2 linked regions of the Drosophila melanogaster genome follow. Changing the gene in region 1 together with any one later gene gives a genetic interaction. Each region holds a gene or a part of one and is shown on either strand. Other genes may lie near its edges.

Region 1 (4,920 bases):
TCCCTGCAATTTAGAATTATTAATATTTGTCATATCACAGACCATACAAAAGAAAAATCAGTTCCTAACGTTTCTTAGTGCAAATTGATCCAAGACGAAGGTTTCCTTTTGGCAATGGAGTAAAACTTAAGTTAAGTTTTTTATACTATGACTATAATCAACTAACTTTTATGATGATAAAAGCCCTGTTTAAAAAACAGAAAACTAAAATGAAGGTGTTCTCTTTACTCAATACACTTGACACTCGTAGAAGAAATTGATGTTAAACATACGGAACTGATTGGTATCTTTGATGCAGATACACGGATTTCCTGGCTCACCTGTGCACCACCAGGCGGATCTCGTTGCCAGCGCCGCGGAACAGCTGCTGTGCATCCGCATGACTCAGGTCGCGTGCGTCGTACTCGCCGATCTTCGAGATGATGTCGCCTCTTAGAAGTTCGCCATGCGCTGGGCTGCCCACTTGCACCTGCAACGGGTGGGGTGGAAAAGGAGGTGGGAAGGTCATTAGACACACATAGTATAGGGTGCAACGGGCTGGTTGCAACCTTGACACAGATTTATGGGTGCCTAAATAGATGCAGACAGAATTATGATCGCCAAAATGTGTGTGTTTACATCGCAGCTCAGTGAAAAGGGGGTAGGTAGGAAAAGTGGAAATTTTCTTCGACTATTCGGTTGCGCCTCAATTAGTTTTACTGGCGTCGCATTTTGGCAACGCTGCAGCGTTTATTGTTGCTGTGCCCGTTTCGCTATTTTGATTTGTTGTTGTTTATTTGGGCGCTGAGAACAAAGCGGCATGCGGGGCACAAAGGCCAATCGCTTTTCCTCAGGCATTTCTTCTCTGGCTCAATTTTGATGAATGGACCACAAGCGACCACAAGGCGACAGTCTCTCTGGTTATATAACGCCCATTTACCCTGGTGATAATTAGCGGCGTGTCCAGATCGTTGCCGCCCACCAAACGAATGCCCCAGGGCGTGGCCTGACCATCGCGCAGTAGCACCACCGCAAACTCATGCAGCTTGGGGCTCATCCTGATGTTGAAGATAGACTGGAAGATCAGACGCTCATCCGATCCAGCGATGGTTTATCCCGAAAATATATATTTATTTTTTATTGTTTATTTTTTTTTCTGGCCTTTTCTGGCCGAGCCGCAGGCGGCGCGCGATTGCAATCCGTTAAGCGTTTTGTTCGATCGCAAAGCTGCTCAAGTACTAATTTTAAAATACAATTCGTATTCCTTTTTGCAGCAACAGCAGCGGCAGCAGAGTACACTGCGCCACAAGTTTGTTTCTTACATACACATATGTACATACATGTACAACTTATATCCGCCGGCAACGGCGACTACATGCTGAGAAACATGAATTCGATTGGCGAATCCTAATCGTTAAATGGGGTTTCCGCTAAGAGCACTCTGAATTTCTCAGAGCGGATGTCGTGGATTCAAAAAGCATCAGGAGCATTTACCTCGGCAAAGCTCATAATTACCACAAGATAATTAGGCGTATACTTGATAAGCGGCTGCATATCAAATTACGCATACGCAGTGTTAATAAACATGATTGCTTGCATGTGTGCCATGTATTTAAAGCTTTACTATTTTCATTATTATATATACCCAAATCGCGAAGAGCATCCGCAAGCCACCACAAACTCAAACCTTTTCCCACATTGTTCCCATTGTTTAATTCGACGTGTGCCCTGCATTTGTGGCATTCTGCATTTCGTTGACCACATTTTAGGGCAGCACTTGATCCAGTTGCACGCTGACCCTGAAGAGATGAATGCCACATATCATCATCTAGGCGAATGCTTTGATGAGCTAGCTCGCCTGATGCAAAAAAGCATAAAAATCAAGTATCTAGGCATCTGTTTTTCCTCGACATTTTCGACTATTTTATTAGTGTTTTATTCCTCTCCGACTTGTTTGCCGAACGATGAGGCAACCAAGAGAGAGTGTAATTAGTTTTAGTTACTGAGGCGGTACTAGCACAACTGCAACAACCAATTCGACACTCTTGCCCAATTTAAATAAGCAAATCATATTAGATTTTTAATGCATTAGTCAATGGAAAAGTCTACGGCCAACGTGACGTATACGCAATATGAACGGGTCAACGGTTGAAGGACGTTGGTTTGTATTAAACATTCTGTCTGCCTCTCGATTTTGGCAACAATTTTACTGTTTACAGCGGAAAAATCTTTTCCTGCCTTTTGGCTTTTCGCTGAATATATACACAATATATGGCTTGCCATTTCATTTTTAATTTTATACATTCTGATTTCGGCACTTTTTGGCTGGCTCTTGAAATGTTTTTACTATTTGCGGCTTGAATTGTTTTCATTTCATTTTCAATTGGAATTCGTGTAATGTTTTTACGGTGACTTTTGCTGTAGATCAGCCTTGAGCGGATTGTAAATCATTCGAAATTCTTCACCCAACGTCTTGCGAATGGTATAAAAGTCATGCCAATGGAAATATAGATCCATCCATCTTTTTTGGGCCATTTTACTTGACCGAAAAGTGCAGCAGTGGCCAATTAATTAGATTTGGCTTGACAAATTTACGAGCCGCAAGGGGCGAAATGTTATTGAACTGATTTCTGAGTCGGCCTGTTGTGAATTGGGGCCACAAATACATTGGAATACGAATAAGAAAAGAACACACGCGCGATGATTGACAAGCCGGGCGATTTGAAAGGGGTTGGGGCTTCCACTTTTCTCGGCCACTTGGACTTACCCCCACGTTTTGCTCATCGGCAAAATGGACGCGCTTCTTCAGTCCGCTGCTGCTGCGCCGCCTGCAGGGCGATGGCAGCGGTACGAGCGGCGGTTTTGGGGTCGGCTGTGGACGATAGGACGTGGGCAATTCGTAACCGGGCACCTTCCAGAAAGCCGGTCGACTGAATGACGCGGACGCCGATGATCTGCTGGTCGTCATTGCTGGCCAGCGACTAGAGTAAACAAAAGAAATGCTCCGCACATTCAGAAATATGCGCTAAATTCTACGATTCGAACGCGTCTGCTCGCGACTGCGTGTGTGTGTGCACTAGTAGGCAATTGAAAAATCAAATAAAAGCGGAGAAAAAATCAGAGAAAATGAGCGAAAACAGAATATTATTATTCATTCAAAATCCAGTGAAATAGTGAGACGCGGAGAATTATGAATGGATTAATTGATGTTTCAGTTAGTAAATTTGATTGAGCAAAGAAAATACATACAAGCAATATCTAATAATCATGATTTAATCATTTTCATTTACAATTTAAACAATAGCGCCTTCAGCTTTACAAGATCTGGCAACCAGCTTAAAAACAGTTTTTCAATTAATTAATTAAAAAGAACAATACAATTAAGACAGAAGGTAATTACATACATTTTTACGAGGACAGTAAACCATTTAAAATTTCGATTTATTTATAAAATTTAATCGTTAAAAACTTTGAATTTTACCGCCCAATGCACTCAAAAATCGATAGTCGCAGAGAATAATCGATTAGAGCTCGAACCATCTGGCAACGCCCATTGTTTTGTTGTGTTTTATACCTGCAGATTTCACCCAGCATAAAACTGAGATAAAGCTTTAATTAATTACACATAGGGGTACTGCAAGATCTCAGCATAGCCCCGCCCACATAAAGCCGCAGCATGTCTATTTTCAAGGCGCGGTAAGCTGTTATTCTAAGCTAATCCAAACTTCTCCGTAAACAAAGACTTTCTCTAACCAAAATGCAGAGTCAAGGAATTTGAGGATGTTTTGGCGGGGCCACAGGATTTAATTGACCTGAAACAACTCAGGAAACTGGCATTTAATGGTAGAAAGCTAAGAGTGCATTTGAAATGTTCAAAATTTGAAGTCTGAGCACTCCACAGGTGTGCCCGATGTGCAGAGTTTTCGAGCACTCAGTTGGAAGCTACTCCTTGGCTATTTGGGGCCTAGGCGCAGTAGTTGGACCACAACCTTGGCCCAAAAGCGAGCCCTGTATAAACAGTTCATCGAGGAGCTAGTCCTGCCCCCCGGACACTCGAGCAATAGAGCTAGCGTAGACGGAGGAGATGGGGACAAAGTCGATTCGGGGGGCGTTGGCCTGCAAGATCATCCGCTGAGCGAGGGACCCGAAAGCGCGTGGAACACGTTCTTCAATGATAACGAGTTTCTACTGCAAATCGACAAGGATGTCCGCCGCTTGTGCCCGGACATATCCTTTTTCCAGCAGCCCACCGATTATCCCTGCGAGATTGTGGTCCACAGCAAAGGAGAGCATGGACGAAGGCTCCACGAACGGGTGGTTCCCGCCGTTCTAAGTTCGGCGAATGTGGAACGCAAGGGCCTCGGCATGACAAAGGTGAGTTCAAGATCGGAATTGTGCTAGACAATAAGCTCAGAATGTGTTGTTTCATTCATGCATACCGTGTGGATTTTAGCAGCAAGTAAGTAAGCCCATCTGGAACTGCCCCAAACCTAATGAATATGTGTGCTCTATATAGATAAATTTGATTACAAAACGCTCCGTTGAAAACTATGCCGCCATGGAGGAGGGCCAAGAGGCTCACTGGGAAGTTGTGCAACGCATTTTGTTCATCTATGCCAAACTAAATCCCGGCCAGGGATATGTCCAGGGCATGAACGAAATCGTGGGACCCATTTACTATGTTATGGCCTCCGATCCTGACCTCACATATCGCGCCCACGCTGAGGCTGATTGTTTCTTTTGTTTTACCGCCCTGATGAGCGAGATAAGAGACTTTTTTATTAAAACACTAGACGACGCAGAAGGCGGCATCAAGTTCATGATGGCCAGGCTATCGAATATGCTGAAATCAAAGGACCTAAGCATTTACGAGCTACTCAGGAGCCAAGAGCTGCATCCGCAGTATTACAGCTTCAGGTGGCTCACACTGCTCCTGTCGCA
Region 2 (5,039 bases), 1.2 Mb from region 1:
GCAGCCGTGTCATTGATGCGCACGATGATATCCTCGACCCGCAGTCCAGCCTCGTCAGCAATGCTGCCCTCGGTCACCTAACGTTGAAGCATATGGACATGTTTAGATCTAGATGGGAATGCCTAGATATCGCCCGATTCAGATGCGGATATGGGAATGTGGCGATAGAATGAGTGCGAGGCCGAGATAGTCGAGATAGCCGAGATACAATACAATGGGATGCGATGCGATAATGGGGAAATTTCTATTAGCCGACAACGGCGACGTCGCGTGCTAAGTGCATAAAAATAAAACGCGCGCCAAATGTCAACAAAACAAAGACCAGCAGACCCAGACCCCCGAACAGACAATCATACAATCACGCACAAACCCAACAGAACCGAAGACAATGCCCAAGGAGATGGGGGGGCTACAGAGGATCTGTGGGGGCTGGGGGCTCAGAACGAGGGGTGCTCGAGTAGAAGTGGCAGCTCATTAACGACACTTCAGTTAAGCGAGTCAAGTGGAATTACCCATGTCTAACCACTCAAATATTGCATTGTTTCGCCGGATGGAAATGTTTGAGTTGAAGGATGATTCTACATACGTACATATATACAAAGTTATGAGTTCACTTAAAGAGAAGATTAATTTGTAAGGATAGAGAACCAAATATTGCTGATTCCAAAAAGATAAATGTTCAAACAACTCTACCACTAATATTTAAATAGCTTGTAAAAGCTTTTTTTTACAGAAGTTCTGCAATTTTAAAGCGGGGGTAAAAAATAATGTACAACTAATGAAACTTTCTAGGTCATCCAAAGTTCACAATAGTTTTCTCTAATTACAAAATTAAATTTTTAGAAATAAAAACCCACTGGACTAATCGTTTTAATTGGATAATACAATTTATGGCTCTTTTTTTGGAAAATTGGTAAATGTATATTCCGGAAATGGTACCAAATGACCGTGTAAGAGAATATCGTTTCAAAAATTTGCATTTGCCAACATTTATTTTCGCAACTATAAATCAAAGTGAAAATGTTGCGAGAACAATAACAACTAAATACAATATAAGCTTTATGGCTTTTGTGGGTAATAAAGTACAGACAAATTGGCGCAAATTGAGCATATAAATTGTAGGAATTCATTTAAAATGGTTTTGCCACTTCGGCCTTCAAAATTGCCAGCATACGAAGTGAGAATTCATCAAACTAATAGTTATGGATGAATTATGTTTCGCCTTCAAAATGCGAAATATCTTAGCACTCTGTTCAAAGAATTCTATTGCATAATTCAGGCAGTTTTGTAACACTTTCGTGGGCAAATAAACGCGATTGTTTTCGTTTCCGTTATGAGAAAGCAGGGTTCATAACCAGAAAGTCACGACACCGACTGCCAAGAGGACTTAGTAATGCAAATACTGCAAAAAAAAAAAAGTGGTTGGCACAAGGAGCAGGTGGAGGGTTGGAGACTCCACCATTTCACCCAACCAAGTTGAGGGTCTTTCCTTTCAGTCCCAGGGGTCTCTTGCATTTCACTTATGGTAGAGTCAATTTCCAGCGGTGAATTCGCAGAGCAAAAAGCACTCGACATCGTCGGAGGTTGCGAATATTTATAGAACAAAGGCTTTGGGCTTAGCTGGGCCATACATCTATGTACCAGACTGTATGTGGCGAGCAGCATGACGAAGAGTGGTAGTGTAAACAGAGGTTTTTCAAAAGATTACCAAGGATTGTTTAGTGTTTGCAGAGCCAATATGTGAAGGTGTGTTGGCACATTCCATAAAGTAATATGGACTCGAGTCGAAGGATGTGCTTTTTGAGTCTCTAACATGTAGTAAGGAATTCTTAAAAGCGGAGTATTAGTATAAGGAATAAATTAGCTAAGTTAATTTAGGGAGTTCATTGGAATGAAGAACATTCCGGACATTTTTCAGTTTTTTCTCTATCAGCCAGCTTGTGAAGTTAATAATTCATTTACAATAAACTTCCATTTTTTCATGGTATGCATATCCCAAAGCACAAACATTTTATAAATTGATCGGAATTTAAAATAACCCATAGCATAATTTGTTTATGTAAAACGGTAAAAAAAAAATAACCAAAAAGTCAAAAACAATTTATGACCTCCCTTCCTTGACTCTGCGGCTTAAATTGATTTATTCGTATCGAAGGGATGGGATTTTTTAGCGCCCCTCGCATTTCGGTCATTTGTTTTATGCGCTTAGCAGTTTGCCAATTAAAAATCGCATTTGTTTCGGATTTACGACGATGCTATAGTATTGTATGTATTGTATTTTTGTTATTGTTGCTGGTTGCGAATTGTCAACACAATGTTACAAAATGCGAATTGCCAAATGCAATTTATGCACAAACAAAGGACCAACTGCCAGCGAAACACAATTAAAATTTGAATAAGTTTATTGCCGCTGCCATTATGCGGCTCATTAGCGGGAAATGTATGGCCCTGTCGATTAGATAAACAAAAGCGAGAGGAATTACTTTAATTAACTAATTTGCCAATGCAGCAAATCCGAATGGACACACACGCATCGCGGCGTTACGTAATATTGCAATCGAACAAATAAAACTGATTCGAACGTATCGTATCGAATTAATCCAATGTGATTCATCAGCTGCATAGTGAGCAATATTTTCCACTGGTCTATGAACATCCGCCAGGTGAATGGGCTGAGGTGATGCGTGGGGGGGTGGGGGTTGCAGCATATAGATTTCGTTCTTTTTTCGAATCGGGCCTAACCTTAACCACCGTCAGCGGATAATCGTAGTCCGCCCCGCCCACCAGGCGAAAGCCCCAGGGCACATTATCAAATCGGCACATCTTAATGTCGAGCACCATGTTTCCTTGATTTATTCCGACTTTTTTTGTTCGTTTCGATTTTTCCGTTTTCTATCGCGAATTTTCTTCCACTTTTTTTTTTGCTTTTTTTCTAGCTTTTCCGGCACTTTGCGGTCGGTGGGAAGAAGCGAGTGTTTCGAGTGCAGCGCTGGCAACCAACTGTTGGCATCGCCGTGCGTGCAACTCGACAATCGAGTGGCCATGGCGATGGCGATGATGGTGATCGAAGCGATTTCGCACACTGCCGCCGGAGGAGCTTCATCGAAGCATACTTTCCTCCTGGCCACGACATGCTAATGAGGCTGCCACACTGTCAGCCATCGGCCCACATACCCCTTATCCCCATGCCCCACAGATATCTGGTCGTAATCGTAATCGCAATCGACAGCAGTCAGAGCCTCTTAGCGGCAATGTAACAGGTTGGGCGAACGGGTTATGCTTTGAAGTGGGCGGATTTTTTGGCGGTGATTACACTGAAAACTATGCTCGATAAAGCTGTGTGCATCAATTCACACTTTAGAGCAAGTCCCATAAGGCTAACTCTTCTGAATATCTTAAAAATGTCTTACAAATACATTCCAAACTATTGGTATAGATAGATATAGGTAATGATACAACTGATATTTGCTAAGAAATACAATACAATACCCCAACTACCAAAACAACAGTGCATCGCTTTTCCATCCAAATTGGGGAGTAGAGCTAGAAATAGAGTTTGCATTTTTAGGGGAAAAACGGTACCTGAAACATGGGTGATCAAAGGATTTGCAGTTTGTACGCCCGTGGGGCTTGCTATGCCACTGCAATGCTAGACTGCAGAAGAGGCCATTGAACTGCATTAGCTAGCGCTTCCGATTTAGTGGTATAAATACCAGTTGCAGCCCAGAGCATTCACTGCATATCCAAGATGTTTAGCCAGCACAACGGTGCAGCAGTACATGGCCTTCGGCTCCAGTCGCTGCTCATCGCAGCCATGCTCACCGCTGCAATGGCAATGGTCACGCCGACTGGCAGTGGTCACCAGTTGCTGCCCCCCGGAAACCACAAACTCTGCGGCCCCGCACTGTCCGATGCCATGGATGTGGTGTGTCCCCATGGCTTTAATACGCTGCCAAGGAAACGTGAAAGCTTGCTGGGCAACAGCGACGACGACGAGGACACGGAGCAGGAGGTGCAGGATGATAGCAGCATGTGGCAGACACTGGACGGGGCAGGATACTCTTTTAGTCCACTGCTAACCAATCTGTACGGATCCGAGGTCCTGATCAAGATGCGTCGCCACAGGAGACACCTGACCGGTGGCGTCTACGACGAGTGCTGCGTCAAGACCTGCAGCTACTTGGAGTTAGCCATCTACTGTCTACCGAAATAGGACACTTGGCCAACACACACACATTCATTACCCAGCATGCATACACATACATACATACATACGAACACTTGAACATGGCATTCCCACATACATACTATATGTACACCCGTTCTCCTAACAGCATTCGTAATCCAATTCGTAATCACTTATTTATGCAGCACCAACTTTGACTAATGAATAAAAGTAGACAGTGCAAAAAGAAGAATTTGTGTGAGCGGCAAAGACAAGACAGTCAAAGGAAAAGTACCAAGGAGGCGTAATTCGTTGCCAGGATGCTGCTGGCTCCAATCAGCTGGCTCGGGTTCTTGTTGGCCTACTCCGGCCTGCCGGGCGCCCAGGCGCGGATTGGTAAGTATAGGGTAGAAATGGTAGAGGCAAACGGGCTGTAAAGGCGAGGTAACTTTAAGACCAAGGACTTATTTGGTATTCATAAATGCAGGGCTTAGTACGGCCTGGCTGTTTATACATAAATTGTTTAATTGGCTGACAGCAAAACGCCCACAAAGCCCTTCTTCTCCCAAACACAGCCACCCAAAAACCACCCACAATTTTCCAATAGCCATTTGCATAAGTCAGCTTTGACATTGAATGAGTTTAGCCAGGCGTTAGAGAGAAGAGCCAACTCCGGAATGCACTCATCGCATCCTAACACAATTTGACAACCTGACTTTTGAGGATAACATGTGTGTGGATCCAGACCCCGACCCCGAGAGACCGACCCCGACCCAGACCCAGTTTAAGTTTCTTACGAGGCAGTATATAAGCCAGTTACTTTGGGCCAAACATCATCAGTTAGCTTTCGACCCGGCTCGACCCAACTTAATCC

The links.
Region 2: of Zasp66 (region 1) and Zasp67, changing one enhances a phenotype caused by changing the other (phenotypic enhancement), as found in Drosophila melanogaster (one study listed by BioGRID).

What each region holds. Positions count from the first base shown.
Region 1 is NT_037436.4:8,622,510-8,627,429, reverse strand, and holds the start of Zasp66 (Z band alternatively spliced PDZ-motif protein 66), read right to left. Parts: upstream 3,060-4,920; 5' UTR 2,948-3,059; coding exon 2,747-2,947; intron 1,222-2,746; exon of another isoform or gene 1,037-1,221; coding exon of another isoform or gene 920-1,036; intron 470-919; coding exon 321-469; intron 4-320; coding exon 1-3. Other genes in the region: GAPsec (GTPase activating protein, SECIS-dependent read-through), read left to right, coding at 3,656-3,675, 3,743-3,822, 3,881-4,353, 4,496-4,920.
Region 2 is NT_037436.4:9,794,686-9,799,724, forward strand, and holds the start of Zasp67 (Z band alternatively spliced PDZ-motif protein 67), read right to left. Parts: upstream 3,003-5,039; 5' UTR 2,842-3,002; coding exon 2,743-2,841; intron 78-2,742; coding exon 1-77. Other genes in the region: Ilp1 (Insulin-like peptide 1), read left to right, coding at 3,749-4,213; CG32052 (uncharacterized protein), read left to right, coding at 4,486-4,561.